Linked DNA regions of Notamacropus eugenii. The protein of the gene in region 1 interacts with the protein of each later gene in a biochemical or structural test. Links are inferred from orthologs where the notes say so. Each region holds a gene or a part of one and is shown in the gene's direction. Other genes may lie near its edges. The genes, in order: ARFIP1 and ARF3.

Region 1 (16,825 bases):
AGCTTAAAATAGACATCAAGAGCATCCCTGAAAAGGAAAGTCATAAAACTAAAACATGCAAGCAGGAAGAACCTCGAACCCTACCGACTAGGAGAGTTGCGCTTGCCTATTATCTGTTTTTTGTAAGGCCTGGAATTTCTCTTGCTATACCCCAGCCACAGCTTTGAGAGAAGAGATACAACAGATATTCTGGTAGGCACAGAACCCTATAGTTATAGCTGGAAGAGACCTTAGAGGTCATAGAATCCAATCTCCTCATTTTGCAGATGAAGAAACTTAGGCTGGGAGAACCTGTGACTGGCAGAGCTGGGGATCTGAGCCCCAAATTTCTGGCCCTGACTCCAAATCCTGGGCTCATTCCACTGCCCAAAGTGATCTAGAATGAAGAGATCAGTAAAGTAGAAAGGGGAATGAAAGGGAAAGAGTGTGGCTGGGACAGAGAGCCTAGGTAGCTCTCCAGCTGTGAATGCGTGAAGGACTTGAGGTAACAGCTGTCATTCGCAGAAGGCCAGCCCAGAAGACACATCTCCACACATCTTCCACGCTTGGGCCTAGCCCAGGGCCCAGGTCTGACGGCATGTCTCCAGGAGACACATCTCCACACGTCTTCCACGCTTGGGCCTAGCCCAAGGCCCAGGTCTGACGGCATGTCTCCAGGAGACACATCTCCACACGTCTTCCACGCTTGGGCCTAGCCCAGGGCCCAGGTCTGACGGCATGTCTCCAGGAGACACATCTCCACACGTCTTCCACGCTTGGGCCTAGCCCAGGGCCCAGGTCTGACGGCATGTCTCCAGGAGACACATCTCCACACGTCTTCCACGCTTGGGCCTAGCCCAGGGCCCAGGTCTGACGGCATGTCTCCAGGAGACACATCTCCACACGTCTTCCACGCTTGGGCCTAGCCCAGGGCCCAGGTCTGACGGCATGTCTCCAGGAGACACATCTCCACACATCTTCCACGCTTGGGCCTAGCCCAAGGCCCAGGTCTGACGGCATGTCTCCAGGAGACACATCTCCACACGTCTTCCACGCTTGGGCCTAGCCCAGGGCCCAGGTCTGACGGCATGTCTCCAGGAGACACATCTCCACACGTCTTCCACGCTTGGGCCTAGCCCAAGGCCCAGGTCTGACGGCATGTCTCCAGGAGACACATCTCCACACGTCTTCCACGCTTGGGCCTAGCCCAAGGCCCAGGTCTGACGGCATGTCTCCAGAAGCTCTGGCGGGTCCTTCTTGCCTCCTAGGACCACAGAGGCCTGCTTGGCCAGGCTTCCGGCATGCCGTTGTCCTGCAGCCCACTCTCTGGTGGGTCAGACCAGACCTCTGCCTAGGTGGCCCCCACCATTATTCGCAGGGTCCACGCCCAGCTCCTGGCCCCCCCACCACAGTGTCCTTGTATAGACTTTGTACTTCCTTGGTAACTGTCCACACTTCCCCACCTCCGTGGAACACCGCGGGCAAAGCTGTCTGTCCTTCCATCTGAGCCTCCTGAGGGGATGAGGACACTCGGGGGGTGAGTTCACCTGCCCAAGGTGACCCAGGCTGCAAGCAACAGAGCAGGATGAGGCGGGGAGATAGATGCTGTGATTATCCCCCCTTTACAGATGGGGAAATCCGAGGCAGGATTACAACTCCAGATTCAGGAAAGGAGATGGAAGGTTAGTGTAGATTAGTACACAGAAAGTGCTTCATAAATGTTCCTCCGGGGTCAGAGGGCATGGGTTCAAAGTTCGACTGGATATAGACAAGCTGGGTCACCATGCTCAAGGCGCCGAAGCTTCGGGAGGAGGGGTCCCGGGCGGGGGAGGGGTGGCCTCCTTTCCGCCCCACCCCCCGCCCAGCAGCTCTCGGCCCAGCCCAGGCTCCGGCTCTGCTGCGAGGTCTCCCTCCCATCCAGCGGGCGGGCGGGAGGAGAGCCAGCGCCCCGCCCGAGCAACAGCCAGCGAGTCCCCGGATGTGGTTGCTAAGGCCGCCGCGGTCGCTCCGCAGGGGCGGGAGGGGGAGGAAGGAGGAGTGGGCGGGGCCTCCGTTGCCGGGAGACTTGGGGGATGGAAGGAAAGGCGGAGAAGTGGGCGGAGCCTCCAGCGGGGATGGGGGAGAACGGGCAGGGGGGGAGGAGAGGGAGGCCTGGGCGGAGGGAAGAGGCAGTGGGCGGGGCTCCCGGCTCGAGAGGCGTGGCCACTATCGGGACTCTGGCGGGGCCAGGCCGAACCCGAAAGATAGGCCAGCTAGGGCTAGGGCCAGGGGCAACGTGGCTTCCGGTCTCCTCACTTCCGGCTCCGCGGCTCCGGGTCCGGCTCTTCGGGACTTAGGGGGACCGACCCTAGGAGAGGCAGAGAGCTGTGCTGGTGGCTCGGGGACCCCCGTCCCCCTCCCCCCGGGCTCAAGGTGCGTGAGGAGGAGGAACCGGGCCGGGCCGCGGCCGCTGCAGCCCCGCACCTTTCCTTTGCGGTCCGCCCGCGGGCAGGGCACCCGGGGATAGGGAGAGCCGCGGTGGCGGCGGCCCCTGCTCCGGGGGCGTGGTCAGCGGCGGGGGCGGGCGGGGGACACGTCGTGTCCTCGAGAAGCCCGGGCCCCCTCCGGCCCCGGCCAGGTCCGTGACGCGCGGCCGGGAGCTGCGGGGGAGAGGGGGCTGGTCTCGGGGCTTCCTTGCTGGCTCCCAAACTCGGGGGAAAGTGGGTGCAACTTGATCCCGTCTGCTCCGCGCCCCGGGTTGGGTTGCGGGAGACGTCGGGGATGCGTCTCCAAGGTGGCAGGCGCTGCGGGACAAGCCGGTCAGTGCCCGGCCCGTGCCCGACGTTCCCCGCCGGTGCCCCCAGGGGTTGGGGCTTCTCCGGGCTTTCCTTTGCTCCTGACCCCGCTCGCCCCTTTTTAACTACCCGGGAACAAGTTTAGTTCTGCCTGCAGTTCTAGGCACTCCTTTCCTTTCACTTTTAAAAAAATGACTTCCTTCATCCAGCCTTTGTGCTCTGAAAACCTTTGATCCTGGACCTTCAGTCCTGGTCCCTTCCGGACCGTTTCTAAAACTCCTAGTACACCCTCCCCTCCCCCTTTTCTGTGAGTTCCACTCGTGTTTAAAACTGCCCTTCCACTCATTGCAGAGGGATGAGTTTTCTTGCAGAAGCCTGTGTAGGTGTGAGCGAGCTTCAATTTCATTAGCGTTGATTTCCTTCATTCAGTTCAGTTTCATTCCATTAGTTAATTTCAACGCGTCAATGTCATCCCTAGCCCCGTGAGCTGGTGTTAGTTACATTCAGCCAGGCGCTTGTGCTTAAAGGTCGCCACTCTCACGGCTCGAATCGGGCTGGGGCAGGTGTTACCTGGAAGTCTCTCTAAAAGTTGTTTTTTCTCCTCTTTTTCGGAAGCCTTAATTTTTCTTTGATGTAGCTGTTTGCTATACTGTCTGGTTCTGACCGAGACTTATTTTTGGCCTCTTTTGAACCGAAGAGAGTGAAATACGGAGATCTTTGATAACCCTAACGCCCAAATTTTACTAACCTTCATAAAAAAAGAAATTTGTCAGTTTGCTTTTTAGTTCCTGGTCTGTGGTTTTGAGGTTTCTTTCTAAGTATGACTGTCTGTGGTTCCACAGGCAAGAAATCCTCTTGAGATCTAGAAGAGATGTATTAAAGGGATTGGAAATTTGCTTTTGGTTGTGGAATACTTGCTGAGACCTCACCTTGTGTAAGTGACTGTTCAGATAAAAGTTTAAATGCTGTTTTAACTTCCTGCTTCCATTTCCCCTTGTGGGACTTCTTGTGGTTCCAGATTGAGGAAGCACTGCTTTGCTAGAGAAGGTTAACAGAATGTTCTTGGAAGCTTGGGCATCGCATTTTGACCCGCTTTCTTACTATTCTGCACGTTTTCCATTTGGTGTTTGATGGGTTTTCTGGTCAACTGAGTTTTAGTGCTAACTCTGGTGTATTGAGTTCGGTGTTTTGAGGAAAATGTAAGCTCCTGGAGGGCAGGCACTGATGTAAAAAAAAAAAAAAGGATCTCTCTCTCCTCCGCCACCCATCATAGTAATTAGCAGATGAGAGATGCTTAACATATACTTATTAAATAAACGAATGAGTTCAAAAAGGTGAAATTTGAAATGTTTTGCTTTGGAAACTTATCTTCTGTTATGAGCAACCAGACCTTTTAACCCAGAAACAGAATAATTCTGTCTGCTCCTGCCAACTTTGTGAAACATCTGGTCAGGCCAATTTAATTTTCTTCTTCAATCATAAGTGACAAAAACAAAGAGGAAGGGATTGCTATGAAATGTTTTTCTTCTGTCTCATACAGTTTTTAATAAAGATGCAAACACTTCTGTTAAAAAAAATCAGATGTACAAGGATAGAATAAAAGAGAATCACAAGTACATAGGGATTTTTTGACTTGGAAGCTCAGTAATCAGCAGTGTAATGTGGCAACTTGCAGATCTACTGCATATCAATTGCATTAATAGAGTATAGTGTCCAGAACAAGGGAAGTGATAGTCCTACTGTACTCTGCACCAGTTAGATGATACCCAAGTACCATATTCAGTTCTGTGTGCTGAATTTTAAATGACTGGGATGATGAAGGGATTTGAAACCATGTCAAAGGAGATTGTACCAAGGGAAATGGGTATGCTGAACTTGGAAAAGAAAAAACTGGAGGACATGATGTCTTTACACCTCACATTTGGCCAGCAGGTTGTTCTCCCAGCCTCCTCCTCCCCCAACCCCCTCTCCAATCCATCCTTCACTAGGTTGTCAAACTGCTCTTCATAAAGCTCCCTAAAGTTCAGGACTGACCTATTCAGCTCCTACCTCTTGCCCCTCCCTATTCAGTCAATTCTGATGATTACCTGTTATGTCCAAGACTAAATATAAAATCCTTTGTTTGACTTTTAAAGCCCATCATAACCTGGCATTTTCCCTCCTTTCTAGGCTTCATACATCTTTCTCCCCTCCACATGCTCCATGTTCTCTTTGATCCAGCGACACTGACCTTTTTGCTGTTTCTTGCACAAAACATTCCATTTCCCAACTCCTTTACTTTTAACTGACTTTCTCTTCTCTCTCCACCTCCTGGCTTCTACCTTTTGCAAGAAGCCTTTCTAATTCCCCTGAATGCCAGTGCCATCCTTCCAAAATTATCTCCAGCTTATCCTATGTATATCTTGTTAGTACATAATTGTTTGTATGTTGTCTCTCTCATTAGACAGTTAGCACGAGCTCCTTGAGAACAGGGATTTTAAAAAAATTTCCTTTCTTTGTATCTCCAGCACTCAGAACATTGCCTGGCACTGAGAAGGCATTTAATAAATGCTGGTTAATCCCATCAGTGACTTCACAGGATTTTATATTTGATATCTCATTTGAGCTTCAATAACCTTGTGATGTAAACGTTACACATATTTTATCTTCATTTTGCAAATAGAATCAACTGAGACTCAGAGTTGAAATGACTTAAGCATGGTTACACAGTTAGTAATTGTCATATGTAAGCTTTGAACCCAATTTTACTTGACCTCCAGCTCCACATTCAATCCACACCATCTGGCTGTCTCATGATCATGGACTTTGATAATCATGTGGAAGAGAAATTACATTTAGATTGTGTGAGGTGGAAGCTCCAGATAGACTACAACCAATCCGAAGGAAGAACCATCCAACAACATGACATTTCTCAAGTATGCTGCCTTAGGAGATGAGTCTCCCATAGGCAATATCCCATATTCTTGAATTGAAGAGATAAGGACTAGATGAGTTTTAAGACCCTTTTCTTTTTTAAAAGTGTTTTTTCATCAAGAAATTCGCAGAGGACCATCTTCACTCTACGGTTGGCCACACCCAAAATTAGTTATAAAACTATAAAGTTGGGAGAGTGCCATGAAGTGTCCCAAGGATTAGTCTAAGGTCCAAGCAACATTTTTATTGGTGATTTGGGTACGAGGGAATGGAAAATATGTGTAATAGATTTGTAGGAGCTTGAATTTTAAGGAAGAATTCGGAATGATCTTGATGAATTCAAAGAGTACTTAAAAAAACAATGGAAAAACTCTTGGGGATGCATGGGGTATAATGTTATGGGTGGAAGAACTGACAGGACTGTATGTAGTCAGAGAGCTATATAACTGACCAACCTGAGCAGAAAAAGCTGACTCAAAATTGAGATATAAAGATCCATAAATAATTTTTTATGTGTTTTTTATAGCTTATCTAAGCGATCTGTGACTTGGATGTCAATAATTAACATGACAGTTTTTTTTGTAGCCATCATCCACATGTCCAACAAAATCCTCTTTCTCCCATATTTCTATCCCTCCTTCCTGTATCTCTCCCTGTTCCTTTCCCCTTCTCCTTCAGGCTCTTTATTTTTTCTTTTCTCTATGTCCTAACAGAGTCTCCCACCGCTATTGATTTAGTCCTAATTGACAATGCTCAAGAGTAAAAAATGAGATGTCAATTCCTGATTTCACAGTATGACTCTAAAGAGTTAGATTAAAAAAAAATTTAACAAGTATGCTAGAATTTATATATCTAGATGAATATTGTGTTCATCAGAGTAGACACCCTGGGATCTGTACACATTTGAATTATTACAGTGGTGCTACTCAAAGTATTTTGGAAATTCCTCTTTTGGAATTGCCTTCAAAACCTGTTTATGAGGTACATGGGATTATCAGTTTTTCTCCATTATAGTCACCCTTTCTCTGTTTTTTTAAACTTAAAACAGTATTAACAGCTTGATCACCCACTTAACTATACTTTGCTTTTTTCTAAAGTCAAAGAGGTGAAGATTAGCTGTCTTTGAATATTCAAAGAAATGTATTGCAGGATCAGAACTCGATGTCAAAAGAAGAAATGGCTCTAACTATATTTTGAACAATGTTACCATCTGTGGAATATGTGTGCAGCCAAATTATTATCTTGAAGAGGACATTTGTCTATTCTCATATGATTTTTTAGAAGTGAGTCTAATTTACTTATAGTTAGTTTATCAATTATCAACATTTTGCTGAGAAGCTAGAGGAAATTTTTAGGAAATTGATTAAGGGAATTAAAGGGATAGGAACTAGGTTCTATGGGGAAGCATTAAAAGCTTTCAGATTTTTTTTTTTTAATCTTAGTGATATATAGAGGCTAAGAGAATAAATACATGATTCATTTTAGGCAATCTTCTAAAAACATTTCATACATTTGATCTTTTTTTCTGTCGTTTGAGACGCAAAGGAAGTTAAAAACAGGAGAGAATTTAGTTGAATATGTGGATAAACTTTTTGACTTGGTGATAAGACATTGGTGTGGTTAATGAGAGTTAGTTCAGTCTATGGAGATCATTTGTCCCTGAAGGCAGGGAACGTGGCCAGGTGACTTTTACAAGGGCCTTGGCCTGTGATTTCTAATTGCCTTGTTCATTTTAAGTTTGCATTCCTTTAGTCTACAACATTTGGGATCCGTGAACTAATGGCAGCTAAGGACTATGTAATAAATATCTCTAAGTTAAAATGCTATATTTAGAAATTATTTCAGCAGAAAAGGGAAGCTTTGGATTTAATTGTAGGGACAAATGTTTATGCTAATGAATCAGGACTGTCTTGGACATTATTATATTCCAAACTCTACCTTGCTTGTAATTAGAACTCAGTGTGTATTTGTTGAATGAGTAAATGAAATATTCAGGTTTGGAAAGAAACTTAATATGATCTTTGTTTCTCTAGTTTTGGTTTCTGATTAACTGGTAAGATGAAAAGATTTAAGGCTGACTCTCTGTTTTTTGTTTTAATTACTGCAACTTTAAATATTGTTGGAATTCTTACTCTTTGTTAGTTACGTTGATAAAATCTCATTGTCATTTGCACCTTTTGATTCATGCTTTGTTTATTTAAATATTGTCACATCTTTAAGAAAGTACATTTTTAGCATTTCTGGCATGTTTTTACCCCTTTTCTGGGATATATAGATAGGACTTTTTCCAGGGATTTAAATTTTATCTGTATTGGGAATTCTTAATTTTTGAAAAATTTTGACTTAACAGTGCCTTTCTTTCTTATCATATATTTGTTATTTAAAACAAAATGTTTTAAATTTGGGGCATAGAATTCATGAATGCTAATTAATAAGCACCAACAGTATTGAAAAAACAGTTGGGAATTACTGAACTAAATGATTTATAGTCTTCATTACTAATTACTAAGTGATTATATTCTTCCTTTTATCAATTTACGATTAGTAAAATTTTACTAATAACAGTTGCTGCAGTCATTTGGATGACCAATTTTTGTTTCACTCTGTCAATTTTTCCTTTTGTTACATATCAGATTAGAGGATTCAAGTATCCAAATTGATATTTGAAATTTAATGTTAATTATAGATTTCCTCTGAGTATGATATCATAGTATTAAAGTTTTTTCCACCCCTGTTATAGGGATAAGTTGCCAGAAAAAGTCTACATAAATGTAACCATTGTGGAAGATACCTAATTATTATGAGTAACTCCCAAATGCATGAAAATAACATTGTCAGTAGCACTAATAGTGTATGAGATATTTAATAGTGTATGAGCATATTTAATCATTTTTTTCCTAGTACACATATGAAAATTTAAAATTTGCTGTATTCATCCAAATTTAGAAATGATTGTTTAGTAACAGAATTATATTAAAGGATTATAGATTTGGAGCAGGAAAGAACCTTAGAGGCCTCACTTTAAAGACAAGGAAGAATACTGGAAAGGTAGGAAGAGGACAGGTAATGGAGGACTTTAAAAGGCAGAGGATTTTATATTTGATCTTGTAGCTAACAGGAAGCTACAAGGAGTGATTGAATGGGAGAGTGAGGCTTGGGGATAGGGATGGGAGAAGAGGATGACATGGGTCAGATCTGTGCTTGAAGGAGAGACCATTTTCCAGCTTAGAGGAGAGTGGACTGGAGGGCAGCAGGGGTGGAGACTTGAGTCAGGGAGACAAACTGGTCGGCCAGGGGAGAGGCTGCATCATTGTCAGAGAAGAGAAGGGGCATATTTGAGAGAGGTTCTGAAGGTAGAAAAGAGAAGAACTGGCAACTGATTATATACGTGCAATGGGAGTGAAGAGTTGGAGACGACAGCCAGGTTAGGAGCCTGGGTGACTGGGAGCATGGTACTACTCTCAGGAAGTTAGAAGGGAGAATTTGAGGGGAAAGAGAATGAATTCAGTTTGGGGCATTGTTGGGGGTGTAAGCTCAGTTTTCACGTGGACACTCAGGGGCAGGTAAAGGTGAGGACTTCTAAACCTCAGAGTTCTCATGAGGCCCCCCAGGGAACAGCTGGGAATTGAGGTGTGAGACATGGGCTATCTCTTACATTTCCGCCTCTTCTCAGTGGGAAACTTGCTGGGGAGAGCATCCCACCCTTGAGATTGGCCCGGGGTCTGAGCACACCTGTTGTTGACTAGCTAAAGGCTGAGAGCATGCACGGTATTCACGTGCAAACTATGCGGGGGGGGGGGGGGGGGGGGGGGGGGGGGGGGGGGGCGGGGGCGGCGCGGCGGGAGAGCTTAAGTAGGGACAGGAAAGCCTGAAGGCGCTCTTTGTGCTGAGGGGCCCTTAGAGGGCAGAGGGTCCCTCCCCTCTCCCGCTCCCATCCTCTTGCTGTACGATCCTTGCCCTTTGGGGGGGAGGAGGATTCCTCTCTCCTGAGGAAGAATTCACCCTGCACATGTAACCAAGACCCTGAATAATGCCTAACCCTTGTTCGACTCTGGAAAGTCTCTTCTCTCAATACGTTTATCCGGCTGATCCCCGAAGACCTGGACGACAGGTAAGAAAGGCTCGGGTAGCCTATCAGCCTCTAGGCCAAACAGGGCATGTTTAGCTTATGATGTGTATGAGATAGCCATTTGGGGATGTTCAGTAGGTAGGCAGAGGTGTAAGATTGGAGGTCAGAAGGGAATTTAGGACTGGACAAGTAAACCTGAGAATCATCTGCGTGGAGATGGTATTTGAATCCAACACCAGCCCTCCATCCCCTTTGCTGAGATCTATTTAGGGACCAGTTAATCACTTTTTATATCATCTTTGCTTTTTCTATTGCCCTCGTCCCTTCCTTTAGATGAATTTTACTTTTGTTTCTGACTGTGGGGAGAGAACTCCCCAGAATTGAAGGGGACTTCAGAGGCTAGGCAATCTATTATATCAGGATAAGAATTATTTCTGCAGCATTCCTTGTAAGTGCACATGTGCCTTTCTTGGAGGACTCTTAGCAAGGGATAACACACTCTCTTACAAAGCTGCCCTTTCCATTTTTATATGAGTCTTGAAGATGTTGTTTTCTTATATCAAACTAAATATATCTCTTTACAACTTCTTCCCATTATCCCTACTTTTGTCGTATGTGGCTAGACAGAAAAAGTCTTAATTGTTTTTAACACGCTTTCTTCCCTGGTACTCTTTATTCTCTTAAAAATTATTGAAGACCCCAAAGAACTTTTTACGTGGGTTATAATTTTTAATTACCATATTAAAAAGTAAAGCTGATAAATCTTTAATTTTTTTCATTTAAAAACAATAAACTGATTGCAAGTTACAGTTTTTATGAAAAATAATTTTTTCCAAAGCAAAATTTAGTGAGAAGTGTCATTGTTTCACATTTTAGCAAACCTCTGTAATGTCTGGCGTGATAGAAGACAGCTGGATTTTCATATCTTTTTATTCTGTTACATTCTGTTGTTTTGGTTGAAATATATAAAGAAAATCCACCTTCACACAGATGTATAGATGGAAGAGGAAACTGTTTTAATAGCCCTTTCAGATAATCGTGGAATTCTTCTTAGATACTATACCAAAACTCAGTGTTAATTTCTTAAAAATTAGTTGCAATATGGAATCAGAAACCATATCAATTAACTTTTCATACTCAGATGCTACATTAAAATTCATTGTTCTATCTTGCCTTTGAATGGATCTTTTATACCATGCATGATTTTATAATATCATGCAATGTTCATTTGGAAATATTTATATTATGCAGATCTTCCAAAGAATACATTTCATTATCCAGTATCAAAAAGACATATTTGTTAATATGATTACTTAATAACAATTAGTTAACTGTGATTGGTTAATAACTACCAATGTCATCAGGAAAGTCTTTAAGTATTGGAAAGTTGTCAAGCTCAGGGTAGTAGATATAAGTTTTCCACAGCTGGAATTTTTCCCTCAAAAGTTTGAATTTATCTTTGGCAAAAAATATATATATATTGTCAATCGTTTTCCTTGAAGGGACAGATTTGCTTTATTTTTGAGAAGTTATTTTCCAAATAGAAATACCCAAGTCTGATTAACAATACATTGAGTTTGTATGTCAGTTCTTTCAAGTAAAAAGATGTTTCATAAACAAAGCAGTTCAACTTACATAGCTTAAACTCGTGCAAATGCTTTTGTTCCAGAGAACCATCATGCCTTGGTATGTGGCCAAAGGGCTTTATGTGCACTTCCCATTTCTCTCTCCCAGAATGTTAAAAAGCAGTGTATTCAAGGCTCAAGATTTCATAAAGTTCATAATTTTGATTCTACTTCATCAAAGACATTCTTAAGGGAAACTGGCATTTATTTTATTTTTATTATTTTACTTCGAGCACGTGGCAGTGAAGAATACAATTACTACGTTTGATGCCACTGCCTTGATTCATACTGAGACACCAGAAAGTTTACTTACCATTAGTTTTATACCATCAGTGCAAATGTCAGCATAGTTGTTCCAAGATAAAGCATGAAATTCAAAAAAGTTCTTCCACGCTAAAAATTTCAGCACCACTTGTGTTTTTTGCCAAGCATTCACATAAAAGGAGATCTCCTTTAGCAGTTAGTTGATTTTGATGCCAGACAAATCCAAGCAAAACAGCAAGTCCAGCCACATCTGGAGATTCACCTGTTTGTAAGCCAAAAAGTACAGGTGTGCAGATGAGATATTAACTCAGTCTTTATGTGTATAGTCATATATTTAATTCACAGGTTATGTACCCGCTGGAAAACTCCTTAAGCGCATGAGACAAAGAGAAGGGGAAAAGGCTAATAATGACTTAGCATTAATTTGGAGATAATTTTGACCTAGAGTCAAAAAATTTAGTGAAACTAACCAGTGTGGTGTGCCACTGCTTTGTTCCTCCCACCTTTCCAAGGAGGAGGGAGAAGTTTCTCCTCATCTCTCCTTGGGGCCAAGCCTGGTCTTGATGATTGATTTCAAAGCATTCCTTTTCAGTTGCTTTGTTGTCATTGATACATTGTTTTCTTGGCTCTGCTTAATTCACTCTGCATTTGTTCATACAAGTCTTACGGTGTTTTTCTGTATTTATCATATTCATTTTTCTGTTAGATTTTTCAGGTTCTGAGAGAGGAATGTTCCAAAGCCATCTATAATTCTTGTCTTACTGTCCTATTTGTTTTATGTTGTCATTTCCTTATCAATGGTGTCTTTAAACATAATGAAATTTCCTTTTTTGCCTTCTTGACATTATCTCTTTTTGGTATGAAATTGTGAGATTCTGATTGCAGCTTCTGCATTTTTTATTTACCTGAAGTATAAATACATTTTATGTGATTATCCATTTTAACTATATGTCTTAGTTTTTTAGTGTGTTTCTTGTATGCCACAAATTGCTGGGTTCTTTTTTGTAATGAACTCTTCCTTTTCTGTTTTGTGGTTGAATTTAGTTCTTCTGTGATATATTTTTAATATTTTGGGAATAAGTCAGTTGAAATAAAGGTAGAAATGTGAATAAGAGGAGGAATTATTAACTTGGTTTTACAGCATACCTGTTAGGTGACATTCCTGTAGTTTCTGAATTAGATGTTTAAGTTTATTTTGTTGAGTTGAATTCAACAAATTATCAAGTACCTATCGAGAACAAAACTCTCTGCTGGTTTCCATCAGAATGATAATTTAGTTTTAGTGTTTTACAATTTAGCAAGTGCTTTCTTCACGCAGTCCTGGGGGATGGATAGCATTTAGTGTTATCATCCCCATCTCAAAGAGAGGAAACTGGCTCAGTGATTACACGACTGGCCCATTGTCACACAAGTAGTAAATGTCAGAGCTTGGCAGATGAATTTGGGTCTCCTGATTCCAAGGCTAGGGCCCTTTCCACCACAGTATGCAGCCTCTCAGTATGTGTAAAAATCATTATGGTTCCTTAGAGGGAGGAGCTATGGAATTCTTCTTAAAGTTATGGGAAAAATCAGTAGCTATTTAAGTGCTTACGTTGTGCCTGGTGCTGTTGCTGTGAAAGTAGAAAAGAAGTATAAGACATGGTGCCTGCCTTTAAAGGGTTTGAAGAGAGAAGACTCATGAATTCATGAGCTGCAGTAGAAGACTGTAATAAATTTAATTGTGTAGGACAGGTAATTAGTGAATAATTGTAACGTGATGCATGAGCATAACTATAAATTTGAGGAAGGAGAGAAATCCAAATTGCCACAGTATCTGTTAATTTCTTTGGAAGGTTTTTATTCTTTATTCTGTTACATTATAATTCTTCAAACATCTATTTAATCATGCTTCATCATCATACCAAGAAAATTCCTTTATCCTGTTTTTTCTTAGTTTTTTTGTGGGCATATTTCATCCTCCTACCTCAGATTATTATCCAGTTTAATGGCCTGGAATGAAGAGGAGAAAAAAATTATTCCTCTTGCTTACTTGCAGTTGGGTCCCATGATTTCTAGCTTCCATGATTATTGCTGATGTCTCTTTAAAAGTGAAGGACTACAGTAGCTTTCATCAGAGTGAAGGGCTAGTCCCCCCACACCGAATGATAGCCAGTGTTTCCTGTTTTATTCCTTTGCCTTATTTGGTCTTGCAGCAAAGTTGGTAGCAAAGACCAGCAGTAAGAGTTGTGAAAGGCGGTTTTACAAAGACCACTTCTGCAGGACTAGAGAATAGTTAATCCAAGGTCACTCCCCAAATCTGGACTGATTGCCTTATGCTAGGAATAGGCCAACTAATATGGATCAAGTTTAAATATTTATCTATTTGTATATAAATATATCTGTTTATATGAAAATATATTCATATTGGTTCAAATATCCTAATGAATTCCAGGAGACATAATGTTAGGTGTAACCAATTACAGGAACATTTAAATTTAGAGGAGTTCTAAGGCGTGGTCTAGTGATATAAATCTAGTTTCACAATGTTTTGGTAGAATTTGGTTACATTGTATTAATGACAGTATTGTGAGTCCATTGATTTATTTAGATTTATCAAGCCCCTTCTTCCTCACTCTCCTAATACAGTTAGGGTACCACCCTCATCCTCTGAGTCACCCAGGCTCCTCACCGCGGCTCCTGATTCTCACTCCACAGATCTCATCAGTTGCTAGGTGCTGTCTTTTCTACATTCCTGGTGTCTCTCACATATTACCCCTTCTCTCCTCTGACATTCAGAACCTCATCACCTCACTCTTGTAGCATCCAGCTGGTTGGTCTCACTCAAGTGTCTCCTCACTGCAGTCTGTCCTTCACTCATCGGTTCACCTGCTCTTCCTGCCCTACAGGTCTGGTCATGTCTCTTATATCCACCCTTCTACATTGAGTCAACACCAGGAATTCCCTTTTACCTCTTGGATCACATTTCAAATGATCTGTTTGACTTAGCCCTTTCCTACCTTTCACTCCCCTTCATGTATTTTCTGATCTGCTGATATTATCTTCCTTGCACAAGACACTCCACTTCTTCATTTTCTCTGACTGTTCCTATCTCTGGAATTCTCTCCCTTGTCATCTCCACATCTTGGCTTCAAATCTCAACTGAAAATCTCATTTTCTGTGAAAGAAGCTTTTTCATTCCATCTTAATGCTAGCACCTTCCCTCTAAGATTGTCTCAAATTTATTCTTGTGTATAATTTATCTTGTTTGTATATAGTTGTTTGAATGTTGTCTCCCCTATTAAATGGTGACTGTTTTCAGCTTCTTTGCATCCCCAGTGCTTAGCAATGCCTGGCAGTAATAGATGTGTAATAAATACTTATGGGCTAACTGTGCCAAGTGTTGGAGACACAAAGACAAAAATCTTATAATACCTTCTCTTAAGGAATTTGTAGAGGTCAGGGCAGGGGGAAGAGAAGAGGGCAACCAAGGTTTTAGTTGAGGCAGTATTATGTGGGATATACTAATACTTAGAGAAGCCCAGGTGAGACAGCAGATGACAGTGTTTTATTATACATTATTATACATTATACATTAATCTGCCATGTCTTACCTGGTGACCTTGAACCATTCAGTTCATCTCTTTGAGCCTCATTTTCCTCATTTCTGATGTGAGTTGTATAGACTCCAGGACCTGAGGCAGTGGGATACCATGGAAAGAACCATGGAATTGGAGTCAGCCCTGACTTTGAGTCTTGGGTGAGTCACTTCCCTTCTTTGGGCCTCTGATCTACATTTGTAAAATGAGGGGGTTGGAATACAGGAATCCTGAGGTTCCTTCGAGCTCTAAATCTAGGATCTGGTGGTTCCCTGTTTATATTCGGATAAAAAATAAACCGTATTGTGCAGCAGCAAGTTGTATGTCATGTAATCTTCTAACTCAGTGTGACTCAGCCCCATGTAGTTTTTCATTGGAAACTGTCTTAACCAAGAAGCGTTTTTAAGAACTTACCATTTTCTCAGGTGCTTAAATCTTCCAGTTCTTTCCTCCAGACTTTTTATTTCATTTTTAAATTCTCGCCTCATTTCTTGTAGGTATTTATGTGGGCCTTGTAAAAATTCAGATTCTTCCGCCCCCCCCCCCCCCTTTAGTTTCTGTTTTGCTGTTATTGTGGAGTTTCTGAAGTCATTTTGAACAAGCATAGATTTGTAGTTATTTTTGGTACTTGTCAGTATTTTCTTTGATTTACTTATTTCTCTAACTTTAATTCTTGAATTGGGACTTTGAGTCCTGGCCAGGTTTTGCCCCCTGCTGAATTCTTGGGTTGGTAATGCTCTGAGTTCTTGAGCTGACCTTTATCTCCTAGAGTCTCTCCCTATCTCTGAGGTGTGGAATGCCTGATCTTCAAGCCATCTCTAGCCCCTTAGGGTTTAGTGATCTCACTGCCCCTGACCAGATCTAACTGCTGTAGGGTGTACTCAGTTTGCTTACGTCCCTATGGGCTGCTTCCTAGCTGTACAGCTTGGGGTTTTCTTTTCCCAAGGAGCAGACCGGGAGCTTTGAAGGCCTTGTGTTCCATCTCAGTTCTGGCCGACCCTTCCTTTTGATGGAAGAGCCCTTTGTCCATGGGCTTCTGAGTGACTTTTTGTGAAGTTCTAGTTTGTAAGAAATCATTTACTGTTGTTTCTCGTTGAATTTTATAATTATTGTTTTGATCTGCTACAAACTTCAGGGTCTGGGTGCCGTAGGTATTTGGGAGATGAGAGGTCTGCCTTTCACTTAGGAAGTGAGGATTATCGACTAAAAGTCACTGTGCCTTTCTCAAAAGAAGACTCCCCATAGCCAGCGCCTTGAGCTGTTGTACAATTTCTTTTTTGTCTATTCAGTTGGTACTTTGAAGAATAAACTATGTTTTCTGCTTTTAGTCCTTTATCACCCTTATTTTATTTTGGCTTTGATCCTCCCTGCAACTCTCTCTAAGGACCTCGTTATAGTCTTATCTAGTAGCTTTTCCTTTGTCTTTTCTCTCTTCGACACCTCTGCCACATTTGACATTGCCATACTCTTCAACTTCTTTCCTCCCTTGAAGTAAAAAGAAATAAATGTAGCATAAGTGAGCACAGAACAAAACTAAACAAATTGAGGATAGTAATAAATGCATCAACACCTGAGATTAATTGTGTACTGGAGAGAGAAGTAATTAGAGAAAGAGCAATAGGATAT
Region 2 (16,326 bases), on another chromosome or scaffold:
AATACCTGTTGAGTTCTCTTGCAATAGGAGCAGTTCTTCTTTCAGGTCTACTGGATTTTGTTATCTATTAGTGTGCTCACGTTCCATGTGCTGATGGTGAGTGGAATCAACTTTGCAAATGTTTTTTTACATTTTTTATGTTTTGACCACATAGTGGGATTCCCCACCTGCCATGTAATCAGGCGAGGGTTGGGTAAGCAGGCAATGTTTAGGACACCTTTTCTAGCTCCCTTCTTCACACCAGGAGGTGAGCAGTGCAATCCTTGAAAGGCTGCTCAGACACTCGGGGGCTGCCGAGTCCCACTGCTGCTTCCAGTGAGAAACGACCCTATGGCCAGGGCTGCCTATGTGCAAGGTCATGACTACAGCTCCCAGTGTATCCACACCTGCTACTTCATCACTTGCCTATTGCCACAGGACTTTGAGGCATAATAGTGAAATGGTATGGGTGATGTCTTTTGCTTCATGTGTAAATTGGATTTAAGTAAGGCAGAGTTGCTTGAAGTCGTCAGCCTCACTCTCTCCTCCTGAGTCATCATAGTCTGGTGGCAAGACAGAGTCAAGATGGCTGGTGATGGCTCAGGATGTAGTGGATGACCTTAGTGTCTTTGGTGTCTAACCAAGCTCTAAGCGCTACACATTGCCTGCTTCATCTGCCTTCATGACCATTGGAACAAATTGTTCTCATCTGCCCATTCCACCAGATGAAGTCTTCACATGTTTGGAGTAGATACCCTCCTAACTCACCAATGGGTTTGAGAACCCTTGGTTACCCTCAACCTGGTTTGGTCCATCTGCTTAAATGGTTTACCGGGGTAAACATACCACAGTTATTTAGCCATTCCCTAATAATGGGCATTTTTAAAATTCCTAATTCTTAACTACCACAAATATTGCTATTATAAATATTGGTTTATGTGGAGTCCTTCCTTTTGTCAGTGACTTCTCTAGGGTATACGCATTGTGGTGAGCCAAAGGGTATGAACATTTTAGTCCCTTTATTTGCATAATTTCACATTTTTTCCAGTACTGTCATATCAATTCACAGCTTCACCAATAATGCATTAGTGTGCCAATCTTTCCACAGCCCCTGCAACATTGACTATTCCCATTATTTTTCATCTTTACTAAACTGATGGTTATGAGATAATGTTTTAATTTGAGACATTTTAATTTGCATTTTTCTTATTTTTAGTGTTTTAGGATATTCTGTTATATGTATGGATGTTAATAATTTGCAATTCTTTTGAGAACTCTTTGTTCATTTACTTGATGTAAGGGGTAGGGAGCCACTTTGCCCCTGAATATAATATTAGGTCATACGGTAATATGAAGTGTTGAAGTTTTGACCCTTTCAGACTTAGAGTGTCTATATGAATATAGTATTTGAAACCTTCAGTATCTCACACCCTTATGGACATATTCATAGATTGTAAAAGGTGTAAAAGTGGCTCAGTCACACCCAGGTGATGCTAAACAGAATTGTAGGAAGTTATGCAACCTGCTTACTTAGTCCACTACAAATTTATGCCATCTAATCTCAACTCAAGGCAATTGCAAGGCAATTCTTTTTTTCTCTTTAATTAATTCTCTATTCCCCTTACTACATACAGGGACTGTTGTAGACCTTTTCTTCTGTCCTCAGGCTTCCCACTTCCTTTTCTCTACTTGCTCAGCTGAGACCCTCATTCATAATTTATGAAGAAAATGGTGGTAGGAATGAAAACAGAGCAAATTTATGTTACAAAGCAGTATTTATCCAAATCACTTGATATTGTTTTAAAAAATAGAAAAGTAGATCAATGCAACTAGATAAAGGAGAAAGGAAATGATAAGACTCAATAACCTAGTGTCTGGTAGACCTGGAAACATTAATGACTTAGGAAAGAAATTTCTATTTGATAAGAGCTTTTGGGAACACTGAAAAGCAGAAATAAGCTTTAAGTTCACCTTTTAGACAATTTTCTAGAGTAAATTCAAAACAGATAAATGATCTGAATATTAAAGATGTTACCATAAAAAATTAGAAGAAAAAAAATTAGAAAAGAAGCAGATCTTGTTGTCTACATCTATAGATAGTGGGTGAATTTGTAACCAAAGAATAACATAGATAATTTTATTGCATTAAATTTGAAAATTTTTGCACATGCAAAATTAAATCATCTAGGATAAGAAGGAAAGCAGTCAATTGGGAAATATCTTTGCATCTAATATCAATGATAAGGTTTCTATATTCAAGATGTATAAATAACTAATCGAAATATGTGACCAGAAGCCATTTTCCAATAGTTGTCATATATTGTAAATAGGAAATAATTAAAAGAGGAAAGTTACTAGAATTAAAAGTGATTGAGAAAAGTTTCCCAAAGAAGGTGAGATTTTAGTTGAGACTTGAAGGAAGCCAGAGAAGCCACGAGGTGAAGATGAAGTGGGAGAAGATTCCAAGCACAAGAGGCAGCCAGAGAAAATGCCCAGAGCTGAAAGTTGTGGAAAAACAAAGGGGCCAGTGTCACTAGACTGAAGAATACACAAGAAGGAGAAAGATGTAAGAAGACAGGAAAAGGTGGGGATGGAGGGCTTTGAACTCCAAGTAGAAGATTTTACATTTGATATAGTGATAAGGAGCCAATGGAGTTTATTAAGTTTATTATTATTATTAAGTTTATTATTTCCTGTACTTTAGGAAAATCAATTTGGCAATTGAAAAGAGGATGGATTGGAGTGGGGAGAGACTTGTGCAAGGCAGACCCATCAGGAGGCTATTGTAATAGTCCAAGCTTGGGGCCTACAAATAGCATGTAGTATTAGAAGGTGGTATTAAAAAAATAAGGTGCCATATTCCAGAGATGTTGCAAAGATGAAATTGACAGGTCTTGACAACAAATTGGGTACAAAGGATGAAAGATAGGGAAGAGCTGAGGATGAATTCTAGGTTTTGAGCCTTGTTGTTGTCTTTGATGTTGTCTGTGATAATAATTAGGGGTGAAGAAGGGTTTAAGCGAAAAAATAATGAATTCCTTTTTGGATATGTTAAGTTTTAGATATCCTGTTCAAGATGTCTAAAAGGCACTTGGAGATGAAAGCCTGGAGGGCAATAGAGAGGTTAGAGAAGAATAGGTGGACCTGAGCATTATCAGCATCCATGTGAACTAATGAAACCAACAAGTGAAGTTGTATGGAAGGAACAGAGGATCCAAGACTGAGTCCCGTGGGAAACCTACAATCATTGGGTATGATTTGGCTGAAGATCTAGCAAAGGAGACTAAGAAAGAGTAGTCTGGTAAGTAGAAAGAGAACTAGGAGAGAGTGGCATCCTGAAAACCTAGAGAGAAGAGAGTATCAGGGAGAAGAGGGAAATTGATTAGCAGGCTACAGAAAGGTCAAAGAAATCACTGGATCTGGCCATTGAAAGGTCATCGGTATATTTGGAGAGAACAATTTTGGTGGAATGATGAGGTTGAAAGGTGTATTACAAGTTGTTAAGACAGTAAAAGGAAAGAAAATGGAGGCAAATTTTATGGATAGTTTTCTCAAAGAGCTTAGCCATAAAAGGAAGAAGAGATATAGGATGTTAGTTATTGGGGACAGAAGAATCAAGTAAGAGTTTTTTGAGGATGGGGAGACACGGTGTCATCCTTTATGTCTACATCATGCACCTATTTTGACCTTATCTTGGTATATGGTGTGAGATGTTAGTCTACATCTACTTTGTGCTCTATTGTCAAAGAGTGAGTTCTTATCCCAAAAGCTTTGGGTTTATCAAACACTAGGTTACTCTGGTCCTTGACTTGTGTACCTAATCTGTTCCTCTGATCCACCATTCTATTTCTTTGCCAGTACCAGATAGTTTTGATGATTACTGCTTTATAACATAGTTGGAGATCTAGTATCACTAGGCCACCTTCCTTTGTATTTTTTCTGATTAATTCCCTTGATTTTCTTGACCTTTTTTGTTTCAGATGAATTTTGTTAATTTTTTTTAGCTTTATCAAACAATTTTTGGTAGTTTGATTGGTATGGCACTGAACAGGTAAATTAGTTTAGACAGAATAATCATTTTAATTGTATTGACGTGGCCTATCCATGAGCAATTAATATTCTTCCAACTGTTTAGATTTGACTTTATTTGTGCAAAAAGTATTTTGTAGTTATGTCCATATAGTTCCTGGGTTTGTCTTGGCAGGTAGACTCCCAAGTATTTTATATTGTTTACAGTTATTTTAAATGGAATTTTTCTTTCTATGTGTAATCAAAAGGGATTATGTAGACTGCACAGTACTTTTACTTTAAGTTCAGGTTCGGATCTTAAGATACAATGATGCACTACAACAAGCTTAATACTCAATTAAGTTTTATTACTACAAATAGTGGAAGTTAGCAAGTGTATACATATAAACAGTAGATAATAGTTAAGACAGAATAGAAAAAGAAAAAATATACTTCACCAGCCAAGTTTGAGCTCCAACACTTGGGCAACTGGGGAGGCTAAATGGGGGGAGCAGTCGAGAAAGGTCCTGGCTGGGAGAGCAGAAGCAGGCATCCCCACTTCTGTAGCAAAAGCCCTCCAAAGATTCATGTCTCACTCAGTCCCTTTATACAAGCAACTTCAGGGAAAAGAGGACTCTTAGAACAAAAAAGGAACTTTGGCCCAAAGTTCCAGCTGTTGACTTTGATCTAAGTGCTCAAGGATTGGCCAGGTCCTTGAACACAGACACCTCTTCTCTTAATGAGTTTTACGACTCTTAAGATAAGGATCTCTTTGCCCCGGCTACATGCTTCATTAATTCTGCTGCTTCCCCTGGCACTCCCAGTTAAGCATATCAACTTTAAGTTACATTCCTTATGTTAGGTCATGTGGCAATCATGCAAGGGGCTGGGGAGAATCTTCCTCAGTTTCCCCACACCATGTCTTGCTGCAGGGCTTTGTTGCTCATATAAAGAAATGATGAAGATAGGTTTGTCTTAGATCCTGCAACTTTGCTAAAGTTGTTAATTATTTTGAGTAGTTTTTTAATCGATTCTTTAGGGTTTTCTAAGTATACCATCATATCATCTGCAAAGAGTGATACTTTTGTTTCTTTATTGCCTATTCTAATTCCTTGTATTTCTTTTTCTCCTCTTATTGCTATAGCTAACATTTATAGTGCTATATTGAATAATAGTGGTAATAATGTACATCCTTGCTTTACCTCAATCTTATCTGGAAGGCTTCTATCTTATAAGAATGGGGAAGACATATGAATGTTTGTAGGCAACAGGGAAGGAGCTTATAGATAGAAGATAAGTGATAAAGTGGGAAAGACAGAAAGGTCATTGTGTTAGAAGAGACAGAACGAAATGGCATAGTTTGTGTGGGTAGAGGAGTTTCCTTGTTAAGGAATAAGGCCACCTTTTTGTGTGAAACAAAAGTGACAGAATAGATAGAGGCAGAAAGCACCTGAGTGATAGGAAATGAGGAAAAAGAGAAAAGAGGGACCTCACAGAAAATGGTCTTTTTTTCCATAAAATATGAGGCAGGGTTCTTAGCTGAGAGAATATAGGGGTGGAGACATTGTGGAAGGTTCAAAGAGAGATGATAAAAAAAAAAGTTTGAAAGAGTCTCTGTGGAAAGTAGGATAATGAGTTGGTAAGGGAGATTACCTTGCAGGAGTGAGGGCCCTATTGAGATTGTATAACATATATTTGTAATGGACCTAGACTAATGGATAGTTACTTGATTTTCTCCATCTTCCTTCAGCAGCATATGTGTAGGATTGAAGGGAGCCGATAGTGGGAGTCATCCAAGACTAAGGCTTGGCAGGGCACAATCAGGGCATAATCAATAAGATAGGGGGACCAGGGACTCAGGAGAAGAGAACAGGGCAAAGTTGAAATATTTCATCAAGGGGTCAAGATGGAGAGAGGAGAGAGTGGTTAGTGAAGGGGTCATGGCCTGAGAGAGAACTGAAAGACTGGGGAATTGGACGTCATGGTGTGAAAGAACAGTATGTTTTGGTAAGAGAATGCAGAAGGAGAGGTTCAGAGAATTTCAGAACTCTTGAACATAGAAGTGGTGCAGTTGTGGATGTTGGCAAGATCAAGAATACGACCATCTTCGTATGTGATTAAGGTATAGTGGAGAAGTATGTCATGAGAAATGAGTAGGTTAAGGAACTGAATGGTTAGGGTGTTTGAGGGAGAGTCGATATGTATGTTGAAGTCTCCTAGTATGAAAGCAGAAGTTGGGAAGGAGAGAAAAAATTGTGAGCCAGGTACTGAACTCGTTGAGAAAGGAAGTAGAGTGACCTGGAAGTCTGTAGGCAACAGCTATTGGGATTTTGATTGGATGGAAAATGTGGATTGTATAGATTTCAAAGAAGGAAATGTTACTGAGTGATGGAAGTAGGGAGAGAACCTGGATGTAGCAGTGGGGAGCAAAGTGTATTCCACCTGTCTTGTCTCAACCAGTGAACTACATGAAATGAATGAAGGTGCAGCCAATACTAAAAAAAGTGGCCAGGGAGGCCGTGTCATCAGGAATGGGATTGGGATGGGGAGGAAGTCTTGGCAATTGCTAGAAGATGGAAACACTAGGGAGAGGGGGAAGATGTAAGATAAAGGGAAGTTTGTTTTCTATGGAATAAGCATTCCAGAGAGCACAGTAGAAGGGGTGGATAGTGTTTGGTTGACACTTCAAGGTAGGAGGGTTGAGGAGGATGAGAATATAGAATCAGGTGATGGAGGATGGGGAATGGAGGGTGCAAATGATGGCCTACATAGGTTAAGAATCACTGGGACATTTAGAGTAAGACCAAGAGTGAATATGTCAATCATTGAGTTGGATAGCTCTACTCCTTTTTCCAGAGAAGGCTAAAGAGCAGGCAGGAGACACATGAGGTGGAAGGCTCAACTCAGGGGACAGGTTCAGCAGGAAGGCCCATCATCACAGGGAATATTGCTCCTCTTCTCACTTGTCACTGGATCTAGCAGTTGTTTGAATTATTATACGTATGTGAATATACATATATGACTTAGATTTATTCAGTCAAGTCACTCCAACCCATGTAAAATAAGTGATAAGATGGGAACCAATCAATAAATCTCTAAGCTTTAGACTAAATGTAAAAAGTCTTTGAAGGTCAATGGATAAAGTAAAAGTACACTATACAGAAAGTATCTTCTAATTACCTGATAGATTTCCTTGTGCCCTCTGGATCCTGTATGAAAGCATCAAGATAACTGGAATCAGGAAGTTCCAGTGAATGGCAAGCCAGGAGAGAGAGATGCAGTAAACCCCTGAGAAGGAACACATGGGTTGTAGCCTTGGTCTGAATCCTCCACCTCTTCTATTCCTTCTCTTTGGCCCAAGGAAAATCTTGCAAGCTAGTCTGCAGGATGTTGGACGTCCAATCTTTCCATCTATGTCCTAGTGATGACATAGAGAACCATGGACAGAATGGACGTAGATTCATAGTCCCACAAGAAGCCCAGCAAAGAATCTCTACAATAACTCAAGTGAATTTCTTGAGCATCCCATAAGTGGGAAAGAAAAGAAAAAACTTCCAGCAACGACCAACTTTCTTTGTGACATATGCTCTCTAAACTTGAACCCACTTTCCCCTGGATTCTGTGTGTGCTTGTGGAGAGAATATGTCACAGACTTTTGGAGGGGAGGTGTTATATAACAACTGTTCTACCTTAGGAAATACCTTGGCCCAAAAAGCTACTTAAACTTACCTGAACTGATGCAAAGTGAAATGAGAAGAACACAGAGAACATCGTACACAGTAACAGCAATATTGTACCACGATCAACTGTGAATCATTTAGCTATTCTCAGCAATACAATGATCTAAGACAATTCCAAAGGACTCATGATGAAAAATGCTGTCCACCTCCAGAGAAAGAACTGATGGAAACCGAATGCAGATCAAAGCATACTCTTCAAAACTTTGTTTTCTTTCTCAATGTAACTAATACAGAAATATGTTTTGCATGACTGCATGTGTATAACCTATATAAAATTGCTTTCTCTCTCATGAGGAAGGAGGGGAGGGAGGCAGAGAATTTGGAACTCAACAGTTTAAAAAACAAATGTTTAACAAATTAACATCTAATTAGAAAAAATGAAACATTTGGGGGGAAAAGCTACTTAAATCTGCCTGAGCAAAATTACTCTAGACTGATCATTTTGGGGGGAAGCAGTCACCAGATAAGATTAGAGAATCATCCGCCTATATCTGATAGAGTACTTCTGGAATCCTGAGAGGGGAGATGGAGATGTAGCTTTGGAGCTTTGTGCTGGGATTCATCTATGACAAGGGGAGTTAAAATAAGGATTCTCAGAATATATATTTATCTACACACGTATATCACACATATATCTACATATATATGTGCATGCACATAGCAAATAGGCTCGGAGCATGCGTGTGCACGTTACATACATGTTATCCATATTGTATGTACATAGGTGTGTGTACACAGCTGGGTGGTACAGCGGAGAAAGTGCTGGGATGCCTAGTGTGACCCTGGGCCACAACCTCTGCCTCAGTTTCCTCATCTGTAAAATGGGGACCACTATTAGCGCTTCCTTCGGCGGGCTGTTGTGAGAATCACACGAGGCTTAGCACGGTGCCAGCTACATCAAGTTTTAGCCAGTAGTAGTAGTAATAGTATATACATATATATGTACGTATGTATGTGGTCTGCACCCACAGGCCACCTAGACGACATCTGCTCACTGCGTCCACACATACCTAGGTCGTGTCCGTGCGTGCGTGTGTGACACTCCACGGGAAGCCCCGGCCCCGGCCCCGGCCCCGGCCCCGGCCCCGCTCCTCGCCAGCACCGCCCCCGCCGCTCCGCCCGGGCCCCCGCCGCCGCCCTCGCTCCAGCCCCCCAGGGCTGCAGCCGCTGCCATGGTGATGGATATCGCGAGATCTTCCCTGAGCCGCCTCGCAGTTCTCGCAAGATCTGAGGGGGGGGGGGGGGAAAGGCGGAGGGACGCAGGGCCGGGGAGGGAGGGAAGGAGGGCCGGGGAAGGCGGGGGCCGTCGCTCAGCGCTTCCGGTGCGAGGTGCAGGCGGGCGGTCGGGCTGTCGGGCGGTGGGGCCGGGGTGCAGCCTCGGCGGAGTCAGCCGGGGGAGCGAGGCCGAGCGGAGGCGGCGGCGGCGGAGGAGCCGGCCCCCGGAGCAGGTGACGGGGCTGGGGCCGGAGATCCCCTCCGAGAGGTGGCTGTGGGGGGAGGGGGAGACGGAGGGGAAGGGGAGATCAGGGGGGACAGCACCCCCTCCCCCCATGCCAGAGGGGCACGAGGCGGGCGCCCACCCCCGGAGAGAAGACGAGGGGGGGCTTGGAGCGGGGGCGTCAGGCCCCGGCCCCCTCGTCCTTCTTAAGTGGGGACGGACGGACAGACTGACGGACGCAGGCTCGCTCTCCTGTCATTTCGCGGGGCGCGGGGACGGGTGGCTGGCACCCGGCAGCACTCGCTCCCTCCCTTCCACCCCCTCCCCCTCCCCCAGCTGGGCTTGGGACGGGGGAGGGGAGGGGCTGCTGGGGCGGCGGAGGGAGGGTCCCTGCCCTTCCCCCCTCGCCCGAGGGGGGCACCCCCTCCCGAGGCTGGGGCCGGTGGGGGGCGGGGAGGCAGGGCGGCGAGTGGCTTCTCGGGGGCCTGGGGAACACTTGTGGGGGAGTGGGCAGCCGGAGGTGGGGGGGAGGAGAAGGGAGGAGGTTCTCCGCCTGCTCCGGGGAGGGAGGGAGGGAAGCAGGGAGGCACTCCCTCCCCCGGGCTAAGCGGGGGCGGCCTTCCCTGGAGCCGAACGGAGGGGGCATCCTCGAGCTGGCCCCGGGTTTGCATCTTCCAATCCCATTCCTTGCCTCTGGAAAGACCAGGATTCCTGAAGCAGAAAATGGTGCCTTTGCTTCCGAAGCCGACCGTTGGGGGCAGGGGCAGGGGGAGGGGGAGGGGGAGGAAGTTCCCTTTTAAAATGGGCCATTGGATTAGGAAGGGAAGCAGCTCCGGGTGGGGAATGAGCCTCCCCTTCCCGAGCGTCCTGGGCCGTGTGGCTTCCCCAGCCTGCCTTTCCCCTTTTCGCTGGACGTGGGAGAGGGTTCGAGGCGAAAGGAAACTGTGAGGTAATCCCAGTGAGAGCAAGGTGTAACCGAAAACCTGCCCCCAGCTCCTGTGGGATTTGATCTCCTGGCCCGCGTGCCATGAAAGTTTTATTGGGAGGTAACGTGCTGCTGGGGTCCGATTGCCTGGGGCGGGTGCTGGCCTCCTTGCGGACGACCCTTTCATCCTCACCAGGGGGCTTGGGACAGGTGCTTCGAATCCATCTTGCCAAACGTCTGTTTCGCGGACTAGCCTGGTCGCTGAGAGGGAAAACAGACACAAAGGTGGACCATTTAGATCGTTCTAACAGCTAGGTCGGGACCCATGGCATCTGGGCCCGGAGTCTCTGCAGGAGAGGGATCACTTAACACATTTTCCCCACCCCCACTTCTCTGAAGCGCACTCATTGCCCGCTATTGTTTACCTGTTCTTGTGTGTATGTGTCTTTTTACCACCACATTATAAAATCCGTCTTTGCCCTTAAAGAGTTTATAATTTTTTCTTTTCTCTCCCCCACTCCATCTTACAGTGACCAACAAAATCTTATGTGCACATAGTAGGAATTCAGTTTATATTCGTTGAAAGAATGATCACACTGAGTGAATGATCAACCTTGGACACCTTCTGTCAAAGATGTCTTGATACCTGATAGAGATAAAGAAGAGAAGTGATTTGTCTAATTTATCTAACTCTTCTGAGTTTCTGGGAGGTAGCCAAGTGGTAGGACTAGGACCTCAGGCTGAGATCTTTGAACTTTGCCATTATGCATGCTTTATGCATTGCAGTTTGTGTATTTTGTAATAGAGCTTTCAGTCTTTCTATCTCTAAATAAATTATCTTATGATTTTGTTTCTCAACCTCACTGTGAAAAACAGATATTAGGGATCATTTCTTTTATGATGGGAAAACTGAGGCACAGCAGCCAAGACCACAATATTTCTCTCTTACTATTTTCTCACAATTTGCAGTTTTCTTCTCCTTCAGATTAAATCACTCTTAATTACAGTTACAGTTAGCTATTAGTAATAATAGCTAACATTTCTATAATATTTAAGGGTTTACAAAACATATTCTTTACAACTACTCCATGAGGAAGCTAATATAAGTATTATCTCCATTTCACAGATGAGAAAATGAGGGCTCCAAGATGTTAAATAATTTGCCGAGTGTCGTACAATTTATATGTGACAGACTTGGAACTTAAACTCTGCACCTATTGACTACAGATCCATTCTTATTTCCTAGATTGCTCTTGTAATCTTAAAATGGTATCATTGGGTCTGAGGAGAGGCTGAGAGAGCCATTGCCAAAAATCTGGTGGTAACAGTGGATCAGCAGCTTCACATTAGTCTAGTGAACAGGTTGCAACCGTTGTGGTAAAAAGAAGAAAAATGGAAATTATTTTTAAAGTCTGTTTCATAGAGTATACACCTCAGATATTGTTTTCTTAGTGGAGGGATCACAAAAAGAAATGGTTTCAAGATAGGAATTTAAGTTAGGAGAAATTCTTAATAATCAAATGATCAAAATGTAGAATTGCCTTTGCTGATGATTTTTAGAAACAGGAGAGGCGAACTCTAGTTAGAATTGAGGTATATTTGGTTAAAGCTATCCGGTGGTTTGATCTGGGGGGGAGAAATCACCATTTTTCCTCCTTATACCTAATATTTTTATCCGTATGAAAGTCTTATTAAAATGAAAATAAATGTTAGCCTTGAAAAGAAAATGTTAAAAAAAAATGTTCATATACACCCTGGAATGTATGTGAAAATATGAGGAAAGGAGTGTTTATCGTCAGGGCCTTATATTTAATAAATTTAATGTTTTAGCAGCAGCTTTTTATGTTGTCTCACGTCGTGAATAGTTATCCTCAATAATAACGATGATGATGATGATGATAGCTTGCATCTATGTAGTGCCTACTATGTGCCAGGCACTGTGCTAAGTGCTTTACAACTTCATTTGATCCTCATAACAACTCTGAGAGGTGGGTGTTATTATTATCCCCATTTTCAGAAACTGATGTTTAAGTCACTTGCCCAACGTCACACAGCTAGTAAGTATCTAAGGCCAGATTTGAACCCAGGTCTTCCTCATTCCAGACCCAGCTAGAGTCTTTCCGATGCACCATCTAGCTGCCTTCGAGCCAAAAATACCTGGGTTCAAGTTTTGCCTCTGACATAAAACCATTTGGAAATCTGTGATTGTCCATAAGATAAATTTATGGTCTATCCTAAGGCCATAAATTTCAGAGAAGGTGCCAGCCTGTGTTGTTAGAGGATCTTTCCTCACTAGGGAATTCCCTATACCAATACATTTACAAATCCAGGTCCTATTCTTTCATGAGGAGCAAATTGTGGAGCCCATGGCAATTGACTTGGCATTCTGAAATAATGGAATGGCTCATTCAGAGAAAGTGCTAGTTTTAGAAATGAGGCTAGATGACAGTTAAATGGATTCATAGCAAACTGAAAGATCAGACTTATACAGCAGTGATTAATAAATCAATATCTTTATAGATACAGGTGTATGATGACTTGCCTCAGGGACCTCTTTTTGGCCCTTTTCTGATCAATATTTTTTTTTTCTGATCAATATTTTTAACAGTAAATAGGATGAAGGGATAGATGGTATGCTTATCAAATTTGGAGATCACACAAAGCTGAGAGGCACATCTAACACAGAATCAGGATTTCAAAAGATCTCAGTAAGGTAGAATAATGGACTAAATCTAATAGACAAAATTTAATAGAGATAAAAATAATGTTCCATGTTGGATTTTAAAATTAAATGAAGCTTCCTGGTGGAGATGTGGTTAGATATCAATCTTATGTTAAAAAGATATGGGGGCTGATGGTGGTTTAGCCTTCTAGCTCAGTATGAATTAGCATCATAGTGTGGCAGCCAAGAAAAAAGGATTTGATTGCAAGGCACTGTGCTATAGGATACAAAGATAGAAATGAAAACCCTTTCCCTCAAAGAGCTTATATCCTATGAGGCAGAAACAGCATTGTTTGAAAAACAGGGTTGTGCAAAGAACACTAATGACTGTAGGAAACAGGAAAGACCTCCTTTATCAGAATGACCCTGAGCTGTGCTTTGAAGGAAGCTAGGAGGCAGAGGTTTGGAGAGAGAGAGTGATAGGAATGAGGAACAGTGATCTTAGGCCTTTTTAATAGAAGTATATTAATTTAATAGAAGCATATTAATTTAATAGAAGCATAGAGAAATTTCAACCACACCATACTCTGCTGTAGCCAGAATACCTCTAGAGATTTGTATCTAGCTCTGAATGTCACCTCTGAACAAGAAAACTGACAAACTAGACCAGGGGTGGGAACCTGTGGCCTTGAGGCCCTCTAGGTCCTCAAGTGTGGCCCTTTGACTGAATCCAAACCTGTTTATTCTGTGAAGTTTGAATTCTGTCAAAGGACCACACTTGAGGACCTAGAGGGCCTCATGGGGCCTCAAGGCCACAAGTTCCCCACCCCTGATACAAGACCACATTTCAAAACCTGGATATAGTTGCCAAGATAGTGAGAAGACTGGAGATCATATTATACAAGGACCAGTTGAAGCCCGTCAGGATATTTAACTTGGAGAACATATTAGCTATCTTCAGTTACTTGAAGGACTTTCATGTGGAAAAGGGAGATTAAACTTAGAATAAGTAGGGCCCCAAAGGATAGAGCTAGGTACAGTAGGTAGAAGTTGCAGACAGGCAGATTGTAGCGTCATATAATGTGAAACTTCCCAATAATAAGAGCTCTCTGAAAGTAGAATAGCCTGCTTCTGAAGAAGATTCCCCACCAGCAGAGGCCCTGGATCACAGCATTTAAAACTGGAAGAGAACTCAAACATCATCTATGCTAACAATTTTTTAAGATAAGGAAACTGAAACAAAAAGAGATGAGGTGATTTGTCACATACATACTAAAAGTAGAGCCAGGCTTCTAACCCAATTCTTCTGATTTTAGATCCATTGCTCTTTCTACTAACCCAGATCTCCTTTCCACTACAGAGAGGATTCCTATTGAGGCATAGGTTAGATCAGATGACCTCTGAAATGCTATGAAGAGCTAATATGATACTGAGCCTAACACAAAAGGACTATCAAATTTCCTTCCCATTTTATTTGTTATCACTCAGTTCTTTATCCCATTTTTTTGTTTGTTTTAGGTTTCAATAAGTACAGGTTATCTATGCGTTGGTCCATTGTTTTCATTCAGTAGTCCTATAATTGTGTGTGTGTGTGTGTGTGTAGATTGTAAACTTCATGGGGCTATAAATTATTGTGTTTATATAATTCTCTTCATCTGATGTCCAGCATAATATGAGTTTCAAATGAACACAAAGGCTCTTTGATGATTATAACAAATTTGAAGAGAATCCTCATAAAAGGGAAAAACATAAAGGACTGGATATGTAGTCTGGGAAAGAAATGGCAGAGGACTTCTATTAAAGGTGGTGATATGAAAGATTCTAAACAAGTCTATTTGCCCTACCCCTGAAAAACATCTCAGAAATTTTGAAGAGCACCAGATAAAACAAATGATTTAACAGAACTAAAAGAAAAGCACCAGTGAGTTTCTCCAACTTCCTGGGACTCTGCCATGAGACTGCAGAGGACCTGCCAGCTAAAGGTTCCTGAAACCAGTGCAATCTCTGGTTTTCATTTTTTAAAATTTGGCCAAAATTATTAGAACTGGAGGGCAGAATGAAAACAAAAGAACCCACATAACATCTACTACCTGAAAGAATCCCCAAATTCAACATGTACAAAAATAACATAATCCAAGTCCGGAGCTTTCAGGTCAATAGAAAAATAATACAAATAGCTAAAAAGAAAAGAATCAAATACCAAACAACTACAGTCAGTATGTCACACAAGATTATGAAGCAGTTACTTAAAGGAAAAGAAAGCTTGAGATTCATTATACTGAAAGGCAGAAATAGAAGATATATAACCAAGAACGATTTATCCTCAGAAACTAAGTATAACCCTAAAGGGGGGGAAAATGGAGCTTTGATAGAAGGCTTTGAATAACTCCTGATGAGAAACTTAGAGCTGGGTAGAAATTTGAGATATTTAAATAAGGTTAAGTGGTGATCAAGTCCTTATTTTGTACTAGTGGGAAAGGAAGCCATTGTTCCTTCAGAATCTGTATCTTCAGAATTTAAAAGATGAACAAAAGAAAAGAAATTCAAGAAATGGGAATGGTTTTGTGTTTTTGCTTGTTTAAAAAAAAAGGGGAAATACACTAGTTAAGATATGAAGAAAAAAGGGAGAAAATTATTTTTCATCACTGGGATGCATCCAAAAATATATAAACATGAGGTTGGAAAGAGTGGGCATTTCATGAACCTCACTCTTATATGAACCAAGCAAAGGAAGGTCAAGCACACATATGCATTTTTGTGTACACACAGTTTACTGTAGAAGTACATTAAAATCAATAGAGAAATAGATGGGAACAGGGAATGGAAAAACTTGGGAGGGAATAGTCCCAAGCAAAGCAAGTTTTAGCTACATAGTATATAACAGGACTAAAAGGATAGAGAAGATGAGAGCCAGTAGTCTGGGTCTGGACTACAATCAGAGTATTCCAATTGTATGTTACTAATTTTGATCATGTCTTCGTTTTCTCACTTTTTGTGCAGAGGAAGATTTTTGGGGAGAGAGAAAACAATGTAATAGAGGAAAAATAACACCTAAATAATATTGTGGATGTAAATGGAATGAACTCACCTTTAAAACAGAAGAGGGTGGTAAATAGATTAGGAAGCAGGATCCAAAATATTGTTTTTATAAGAAACATAATAAATATACACATACAGTTAAAATGAAGGGCCATATACACTTATACTTCAGGTGAATCCAGAAAAAAGGAGACAACAATCATGATTTCAGACAAGGGAACAGTAAAAATAGACATAGTCAAAAGAGATAAAATCTGGAAAGCTACATCATGCTTAGAGATATCATATGTCTTGAAACAGTAATACATAGAGAACCGTGTGTGTGTCTACCAAATGACATGGCTACCATTTAGCTGCCTTTTTTTCCCCAAGAAAAATAGCAAATAATATACTAAAACTTTTGGAATGCATCCAAAACTATGCTTAGGGGAAACTATATGTATTTGTCAATACTTGCATCAACAAAAGAGAGAAAGAGCAGTGAGTTGGATATGTAACTAAAAATAACAACTAGTGGATAAAATTAAAAGTCAAA

What was found.
Region 2: the proteins of ARFIP1 (region 1) and ARF3 form a complex in vitro, tested with the Homo sapiens proteins (2 studies listed by BioGRID). The link is inferred for Notamacropus eugenii from reciprocal best matches to the Homo sapiens genes ARFIP1 and ARF3.

What each region holds. Positions count from the first base shown.
Region 1 is NC_092877.1:150,887,099-150,903,923, forward strand, and holds the start of ARFIP1 (arfaptin-1), read left to right. Parts: upstream 1-9,542; 5' UTR 9,543-9,696; coding exon 9,697-9,777; intron 9,778-16,825. UniProt on the Homo sapiens protein: Plays a role in controlling biogenesis of secretory granules at the trans-Golgi network. Mechanistically, binds ARF-GTP at the neck of a growing secretory granule precursor and forms a protective scaffold.
Region 2 is NC_092874.1:220,778,995-220,795,320, reverse strand, and holds the start of ARF3 (ADP-ribosylation factor 3), read left to right. Parts: upstream 1-8,981; 5' UTR 8,982-9,175; intron 9,176-16,326.